Arabidopsis thaliana: one gene and its partner. The protein of the gene in region 1 interacts with the protein of each later gene in a pairwise test. Each region holds a gene or a part of one and is shown in the gene's direction. Other genes may lie near its edges. The genes, in order: FKBP13 and LTO1.

Region 1 (4,002 bases):
GGTAATTCTTACTAACTGCATTTTTTCTCTGTTTCCTCTGTTTTTATTCCCACTTAGACTATTTTTTTGCTCTGTTTCTTTCAAAACATTAGCTCAGCTTTTGGGTTTCGAGGACTACATTACACCTTACGCTTCTGCAAGAGGACAAGACATTCTCCGAGGAGTTAACTATGCTTCCGCTGCTGCCGGAATCCGAGACGAAACCGGCAGACAATTGGTAACTACTACTACTATTTCTCTTTGACAAAAAAACTATTACTATTCGGTTTATGTTTTGGTTTTGGTCTGGTTTGATATATTTGAATTTGGCTTATCTTGTTCTAGAGCTTCTTAAAACTTGACTTGTTCTTGTTATTGTTCCTCAGGGAGGTCGAATAGCATTTGCAGGGCAAGTAGCAAATCACGTGAACACTGTGTCACAAGTAGTGAACATACTTGGTGATCAAAACGAAGCCTCGAATTACCTCAGCAAATGCATTTACTCTATCGGATTAGGCAGTAACGATTATCTTAACAACTACTTCATGCCTACTTTTTACTCTACCGGTAACCAGTTCTCCCCCGAATCCTATGCCGACGATCTCGTTGCCCGTTACACCGAACAACTCAGGGTTCGTATACACACTTCTATATCCTCTGTTTCTTAGTTTTCCTCTGGTTTTGCCTCTCTGTTTTATAGTTTCTACTCTGGTTCTTTATGTTACTTGATCCTCTGAGTGAGAGATTAAGGTTTTAATGTCTGTTTTTTTTTGTGATGGAGCAGGTACTGTATACCAATGGAGCGAGGAAGTTTGCGTTGATAGGAGTCGGGGCAATCGGTTGCAGCCCGAACGAGCTAGCTCAAAACAGCAGAGACGGAAGAACGTGTGACGAAAGAATCAACTCAGCGAACAGAATCTTTAACAGCAAACTCATATCTATAGTCGACGCTTTTAACCAGAACACACCAGATGCAAAATTCACTTACATCAACGCTTATGGCATCTTCCAAGACATTATTACAAACCCTGCTCGCTACGGTAATAGATCAATCATCAAATTGTGATTGAAGTAAACGTTTTTTCTTATGATGATTTGCTCAAAGTTTCGTTGAAAATTTTGCAGGGTTTAGAGTGACAAATGCAGGATGTTGTGGAGTTGGGAGGAACAATGGACAGATAACTTGTCTTCCAGGTCAAGCACCATGTCTAAATAGGAATGAGTATGTGTTTTGGGATGCGTTTCATCCCGGTGAAGCTGCGAATATTGTTATTGGAAGACGATCTTTTAAGCGAGAAGCTGCTTCTGATGCTCATCCTTATGATATTCAGCAGCTAGCATCTCTCTAAAGAGAGAAAGATCTTTTGGTTGTCTAAGTATTTTGATAGTTCTTCAATGGCAGCTGAGTTTTGGACTCAAGAAGAAGTGATTTGGTTTGTGTTGTGTGATGTCATAACTGTTTATGTAATGATTTGGAGTTACTGTTTATCTCTTTTTCTCTTAACAGTTTTATAAATTTGATTCTTTCATTACAAATGTGTTAGTTCGTCTTTGCTCCAAAACAAAAGAAAGTGGAACCAAAGAAGGAAGTTCAAACCAAACATATTCAGAAATGTCGTTGGGTGGTTCATGGTTGGTTGGTTGGTTTTTAAATTTATTGCAATTTTAATTTAACTGACTAAATACTTAAAAATGAAAAGGTAGAAGAAAATAGTGTACCATGATTTTTAAATGATAGTAGCATATGGTAATGTTAAAAATCGATCTAATTGAAAATGCCTTGAAAGTTGAGGCATTATTTAGGCTTTAGAGAAAAGTTCATGAATTACTACTCTCTTTTTGAATCATCTAAGAGGGTTTAGACTTTAGATGATAAAAGCTAAAAATTCTACAACACATTACTAATCATCAAAGCTATTCATATTGGGCCTGTAAGGCTTTAATCTTGAAAATATGATAAAAGATGAAGCCCAATTTTGTGTGGTTGCTTTGTTTGCCAGCAAGGATTGCTGATTGTCCAACACAAAGCTTTTTTATTATCTTCTTTGAGATTATTCTTTATCTGGATAGAGAAGATAATGAGCTCCTTGGGGTTTTCAGTTGGAACTTGTTCTCCTCCAAGTGAGAAAAGAAAATGCAGATTTCTTGTGAATAATAGCTTAAACAAAGCAGAGGCTATTAACTTGAGAAACAAGCAAAAAGTTTCTTCTGATCCTGAGTTAAGTTTTGCCCAATTATCCTCATGTGGTAGAAGAGAAGCAATTATTGGTTTTGGTTTCTCTATTGGCTTGCTTGATAATGTTTCTGCATTAGCCGAAACAACTTCTTGTGAATTCTCTGTGTCTCCTTCTGGTCTTGCTTTTTGTGATAAAGTTGTTGGTTATGGTCCTGAAGCTGTTAAAGGGCAACTAATCAAGGTGATTTTTAAGTATATCAATAATATCTCAAATTACAATGACTTTTTGCAATTTCTTTATGAATGTTTGATGATTCTTGAATGTTTATTGCAGGCACATTATGTAGGGAAGTTGGAGAATGGGAAAGTCTTTGATAGTAGCTATAATCGAGGGAAACCTCTTACTTTCCGAATTGGTGTTGGTGAGGTAATCAAGGATAAACATTACTTTTGCCAAAGCCTCCCATTTGTTTAAACTTTTAACATTATGTGAGAAAACATACTATACAGGTGATAAAAGGTTGGGATCAAGGAATCCTTGGCTCTGATGGAATTCCTCCTATGCTTACTGGTATATATGCTCAATTTTTAAAAAATTTAACATAGCATATACAGAGGAAACATGAAACTTTAGTTGCATGTAACTAAACTAGATAGTGGTCATCACTATGCTTAGACCATAAGACCTTAGAAACACTGAAAGAATCTTTTGTATGTAACTAGATAGTGTTCATCAGTTTGTATCCTAATCTCTATAACTTTCTACCATAATATTTAGATATTTATGTTAGAGGTATATAGTTTAAGTCTACATAGTGTTTAAAATAATTTGATTTCAACAGAAATATTGTCATGTTTACATCATATAACTCTGTTGGTCTAATCTGCAGTTTTGATTTGGTTTCTTTCTTCAGGTGGGAAACGAACATTGAGGATTCCTCCAGAACTCGCGTATGGTGATCGAGGCGCAGGTTGCAAAGGAGGTAAAAATATATTTTGATCACAAAATCTTATGTTATATTGTTGATAATAAGCTAATTAATTAACTAAGCCTAAACTTGTTTTCGCGCAGGCTCATGCCTTATTCCTCCAGCTTCGGTTCTTCTCTTTGACATTGAGTACATAGGTAAAGCTTGAGAGAGCTTTTTTGCTTTTGCTTTGCCTTTTCTGAGCCATATCATACTCTTGTTTGAATCATCCTTATAGAAGAAAAAAATATGTCTATTATTTTTTCTACTATGTAATCAAGTGAATATCTCAGCTTTTTCTATCTTTTGTTTGGTTTTCTACCTTTTATCTATTACTAAAATATGAAAATTCAATAAACCAAGTAAAACCGGAAACCCAAACTCAAATCCAGAGAAATGATTTTCAGACAAAAAAAATTCGTCAAAAGATCTCTGACATATCTATCCAAACGTCGTATAGTGTAGTTCCCGATTTCTCAGACACTAGAAGTAGAACGTTGATAAGCTAACGTAAGAAGCAAGTAGATGCGGTAGAAACACAAGAAAAGGAGCGTTAAACAGAGCAAGTTGCATAAAATAGAGACCATTGGGAGATCAAAGATCTAGACATAAACTTTCTTGGGGGCAAAAATATTGAAGAATATTACATGTTTCAGATTAGTGTACCGGTAAATTTGTGGGGGTGGCTTCCAAAACTCCGATGTCGGTCGGGTTACATTATTTATAATTTGTAACAGATTTATTCTCTCTTTTTTGCCAAAGTTTTTATGATGGCTTTTAATCTTACCGATCACTATTCACAAGGTAAATGATTGTTCTCTCCGATGGATGGCTTAGTAATAGTATCTTCCACTCGAACCCTCAACATGATCCAACTGT
Region 2 (5,142 bases), on another chromosome or scaffold:
GTTTTTCTATCATTTTATAAATTTAACACTTAAACTTAAAGAATAATAATTTAAAACCAATTTAAAACTTAAATTTTAAGAAAGTAATTAATAATTTTTAACTAAAATAATGTTAATTTCACTATTATCATTTAAAAATTAGTTTAAGTATTAAAATTTTAAAACGGCGAAAACTAAACGTGTGTAGGCATGCATCCCCGTCCTTAATTGGTCCGTAAACTTTGTGGTGTTCGAAGTTCGGTAAAGCTTTCACCCAATATAGATTTGACAGTTAAACTATGTTTTAGAGAATAATAATGATGATTGATACTTGCGTTGAGAACATCTACAGAATTTATTGATAATTACAGGAGGTGATATGGCTATGATTGTTTTCACTCTTCTACCGGCAGCTCATTCTCTGTCCAAGCGACGTATCCTCCAGCAATGTCTGTGATCGCCGTGAAGCCCTGTACATGTGGCGACATTAAACCCGCTTGTCCTAAACCGGATAACGGCTATATAAATTGAAGTGATATTACACACATACAGCAGTGAGAAGATCAGTTGAGGCCATAAATGACATTTGACCGCTCTCACAACCCTGCAGAAGTAGTTTATTACGTGCATCAGAGATTTTGTGAAACAAGGGATTGTCTTCATAGGGGTTTATTTAGTCTCTGAATGTCAAAACTGAAACTTACGATTATGATTTCATCGTGTTTCCTGAAGTGGGACGAGACCTGTCTTAGAAAACTCGGGTTCTTAACCATTCCTGCAACGGTTTTGGCTTGGTGTTAGTTTTAAGTTGTTTTTCATTTTCACTCTTTCTCATAAGAGGAACCTTAAGGTCGGTGATGAAAACCTGATCCGACTCTGTACATGTAAGGTACGTTGATGGCTCTAGTCGGATGTCCGATGCTGAATTCGTCTGGTGTCCTCACGTCGAGATAGCGGTATCCTGCTTGAGCTAGCTCACGCGCCACTCTTACTGGTACTGACGTAGGAATTTTAACTGCCTCTGCTGCAACATTTCCTCTGCTTGTTGTCGTTGCTTTCCTCCTTGAGCAAGAAGTTAATACTCAGATTTAATATTTATTCATAATCTAAAATCAGATAGAGAAGGCGATTCTCGTCGTTGATTGCTAGCTTACCATCGGAAGTTTGAGTTTCGAAGATCAGCTACAATAACACCTCTTCGTGTTGGTAATTGGCACTTGAAAGATCCACATGTTTGTAGAGGTGGAGAAATAGCCGATGACCAGTTTCCAATTCGTGATGTTGTGTTAAAAGCAGTGGTTTCCATTTTCACTTCTTCTTTGAAACTTCTTTTAGAATGCTTTGATGCTACTTAGATACTTCTTCTCTTAGTTCTATAGCGTTTATATAATACATACAGACACAAAGGTATGGGTGTCACGTCAGCAAGTTTTATGTCCGATCTTCGAGTCTCTATCATTTCTATGGATAAATTCAATTATGTACCAAAGTCGATTCCAAAATGTAAACAATGCGTAGATAATGAATCATGATAAGTCCAACTCGGTGCCTCGTGAGTCGTGTTGAAGAGGATAACTTGCTGACTCGGACGGATAAGAAGACCGTAAGGCCCAATTGTGATAAACTAATTATGGATCCAAATTATCGTATTTGGGCCTCGTTTAGGCCCAATATTGAAACAAGTGGCTGAGATAGTGGAGCGGAGGAGAGAAGATGATGAAGTTAACAATGGTGGAATAGCGATTCTTCGACGACGATGATGGCGAGGTTTGTTTCTGTGTCGTCTTGTCAGTTTCATTTCGGCTTCCGTGAGGTTTCTCCTCCGTCGGTAACTTCTTATCCTAGACGATTCGAGGTAAATTCTTGTCATGTGTTTTCTTCAGTGACAGTAGTGTGTGATCGGTCATTTGAAGTCAGATGTTCTGAATTAGGTCTCTGATCGGAGATTTCCTGCGATTCCGATTAAATGTTCTTCATCTGAGCCGGAAAACGGTGAGGATTCGGCACCGTCGCTGTCTTCCTCCTCCTCATCGTCTACAAGTGAAGTATCTACTAGTAACAGTTCGACATACAACTGGTACACCGGAATCGGCGGTATTGGGATGTTAGACACTGCGTATTTGACTTACCTCAAGGTCACTGGCTCCGATGCGTTTTGCCCTATTGGTGGTGGCACTTGCGGTGATGTCCTCAACAGCGATTATGCCGTCGTTTTCGGTATTATCCATCGCTTTATTGATTATAGCGTTTGATTTATGTAGCTAATTGTCCTCTCTTTTATAGTAGGCATGATTAAATACTCGCATGTGATAGTCTCTGTGAATCTTTGCTTGAAGCTATATCATTTAGGAGCTTTGGTACTTAGTATGCATAGAATTGTTAGAGTTAAATAGCATGCTTCACTCCACTCTATGTAGTGCTTTGTCTTCGTTGTTTGTCCAACATTGCATTGCAGGTAAGTTGAACTCAATGAAAATCCTTTTTTACATTTTGCCAGGTGTTCCTCTTCCAGTGATTGGATTTGTTATGTATGGCGTAGTAACCGCTCTAAGTGCAGAGCTTGGGGAAGGGAATCTACCTTTTGGAATCAGTAAGAGCAATGGGCGTTTCGCGTTATTTGGGATCACGACTGCAATGGCATCTGCTAGTGCATATTTCCTGTATATCCTTAGCACAAAACTCTCAGGATCATCATGCCTGTATTGTCTGGTGTCTGCTTTCTTATCATTTAGTCTATTTTTCCTCTCTGTAAAGGTATCCCTTTATTTCCATTTCTTTTTTTTTCCTGATGTTGACTCAAGATAACTTCTAAACTTCGGATTATGATAATGTGCTCCATGCATGTGGTAGGATGTGAAGTTGCAAGAAATACAGCAAGTTGTAGGATTGCAGATATGCTTAGCAATCATAGTAGTTGCCTCCTTGACTGCTTCTTACAGTACTGCTCAACCAATCCCTTCACGGTAATCAAAGTTCATAGTTTTCTTTGGGGAGTCCCGATAGAAATTTTAGTCATTTGTAACGAGTAGTGAACAAATAGCTTCCGAAAGATGTATGAGTCTTATCAGGTGGTCTCTTTTAATCCCGATCGTTTTTTGTTTCACTCCTTCCAGCTCTGGTGACATTGAACTGCCATATTTTAGAACAGAGATCAGTTCATCATCGAGCCCTTATGCTATTGCTTTAGCAAAACATCTAAACTCCATTGGAGCTAAAATGTATGGGGCATTCTGGTGTTCTCACTGCTTAGAGCAAAAAGAGGTAGTTAGTTCATTCATCACCTGTTTGCCAAGAATCAGTTTTATGCTTTTATTATATGTTCATTATAGTTCCATCCATCTACAGATGTTTGGAAGAGAAGCGGCAAAAGAACTGAACTACGTGGAATGTTTTCCGGATGGATATAAGAAAGGAACTAAGATACTCAAGGCATGTGCAGATGCTGCGATCGAAGGATTCCCAACATGGATAATAAATGATAAGGTGAGTAAATCCTCTGAACCCCTTGTACATTTCATCACATGTCAGTACCTATTTCACCTCTTTTATAAATTAGGTCTTAAGCGGAGAAATAGAACTCGCTGAACTAGCGGAGATGACTGGATTCAGCCTTGATCAGGCAAATGAGACCAATCAACTTCAGTAAATTTTGTATTGGTGCAGAAAATATTAAGGTGAATCCGTAAATGTTGTTTACTTGATCCTCCTGATAGCTATAGGGTGTTCTATACAAATTCAAGTAATGAAAGTGCTTATTGTTGCCATAGGAGGTTACAACTTCATCTGTATCACTTAGCCTACACCAGAGCATCACTATTTTATAATTGAAAGATTCATAGGTTCTTCCAAAGAATGTTAGGGTACTATTAATTCGAGAATCTACAGCCATCTAGTACTGGCTTTATGTAAGTATAATGTCTAAAAGTATGGTCTATATAAGAGAGTCACACATGTATTTTGTATATATATGCGTGTAGAGTAGTAGCAGATATATGATGTATGGGAAACTTAGAGAATTACGTTTACAATATTTGGTGCCCTATTGAATACCTTCCTTGAATGTGCCTCCTCGGTATTTTTCTATTGTAATGATCCATCCACAAGTTTCGCTGTTATTATCCGTTTAATATGCAGAAGATAATGTTTTTCCTTATATTTTTTAAAAGATTCCATTGGGCATTGGATAGATATGAACATAGAGATCTTTATAATCTTTAATAATTTGTAAGCTCAGATTAGTTTAACTCAACATCGGATGGGATGATCCAAAATAACGCCCATCTTATCCAATAATCTACATGAATCATGTGATGAGACGTAACGCTTAAGGCGGGGGGCGGGAAAAGAGTCAAAAAAGGCAGTAGCCGTTAGATGTAGCAAAAACGGATGGACCAGATTAGTTGCTTAACAACGAAAGATCAAGAGAGGGCGAAAAAGGTAATAATTATTGGAATGTAGGACCCACAAAGAGGTGAGGAAGATCATGATAAAAAGGAAGATGCTATAGAATATTCGTAAGAGCCCGTCGTTTCTCCCATTACCCTCCAATTAATACACTATTTTTTTTATTTTTTTGTCTTTCCCTTTTTAAAATGATCATCATCTTCTTCTTCACTCGCCTCAATTTTTGTTCCCTTCTTCTTCTATAATTCAACTGTGAATTTCACCGACGAAACAAAAAAGAGAGAGAGAGAGAGAGAAACGATGAGTTCTCAGATTTCGGAGATTGAACAAGAGCAGCTGATCGAGAAGCTTGAGATCTTCAAGATCCATGGCAGAGACAAACGTGGCCGTAAGATCCTTCGTATTATCGGAAAATTCTTCCCAGGTACTGATATATCAATCGGATCTGTTTCTTTTTCTCTCTGTGTAGATTTGTTCTTATATTTGAGTTTTTTTTGTTTCTGAAATCAGCTCGATTTCTGTCACTGGATGTGTTGAAGAAGTATCTAGAGGAGAAGATATTTCCTCGATTAGGTAGAAAACCATTCGCCGTACTCTACGTCCACACCGGCGTACAGAGAAGCGAGAACTTCCCAGGTATCTCAGCTCTACGAGCGATCTACGACGCAATTCCGGTAAACGTCAGAGACAATCTTCAGGAGGTTTACTTCCTCCATCCAGGTCTTCAATCACGTCTCTTCCTCGCCACCTGCGGCCGAT

What was found.
Region 2: the proteins of FKBP13 (region 1) and LTO1 interact in a two-hybrid assay, tested with the Arabidopsis thaliana proteins (one study listed by BioGRID).

Annotation. Positions count from the first base shown.
Region 1 is NC_003076.8:18,528,837-18,532,838, forward strand, and holds FKBP13 (FK506-binding protein 13), read left to right. Parts: upstream 1-1,997; 5' UTR 1,998-2,057; coding exon 2,058-2,396; intron 2,397-2,489; coding exon 2,490-2,582; intron 2,583-2,665; coding exon 2,666-2,726; intron 2,727-3,069; coding exon 3,070-3,138; intron 3,139-3,227; coding exon 3,228-3,292; 3' UTR 3,293-3,501; downstream 3,502-4,002. Other genes in the region: AT5G45670 (GDSL-like Lipase/Acylhydrolase superfamily protein), read left to right, coding at 1-1, 93-217, 366-611, 764-1,019, 1,105-1,328. UniProt on the Arabidopsis thaliana protein: PPIases accelerate the folding of proteins. It catalyzes the cis-trans isomerization of proline imidic peptide bonds in oligopeptides. Responsive of the major PPIase activity in the chloroplast thylakoid lumen.
Region 2 is NC_003075.7:16,941,216-16,946,357, reverse strand, and holds LTO1 (NAD(P)H dehydrogenase (quinone)s), read left to right. Parts: upstream 1-1,680; 5' UTR 1,681-1,735; coding exon 1,736-1,834; intron 1,835-1,910; coding exon 1,911-2,196; intron 2,197-2,476; coding exon 2,477-2,733; intron 2,734-2,829; coding exon 2,830-2,942; intron 2,943-3,092; coding exon 3,093-3,240; intron 3,241-3,324; coding exon 3,325-3,564; coding exon of another isoform or gene 3,565-3,625; 3' UTR 3,626-4,327; downstream 4,328-5,142. Other genes in the region: SEN1 (Rhodanese/Cell cycle control phosphatase superfamily protein), read right to left, coding at 375-449, 530-583, 684-754, 845-1,041, 1,134-1,285; AT4G35750 (SEC14 cytosolic factor family protein / phosphoglyceride transfer family protein), read left to right, coding at 4,684-4,807, 4,894-5,142. UniProt on the Arabidopsis thaliana protein: Thiol-disulfide oxidoreductase catalyzing disulfide bond formation of chloroplast proteins and involved in redox regulation and photosynthetic electron transport.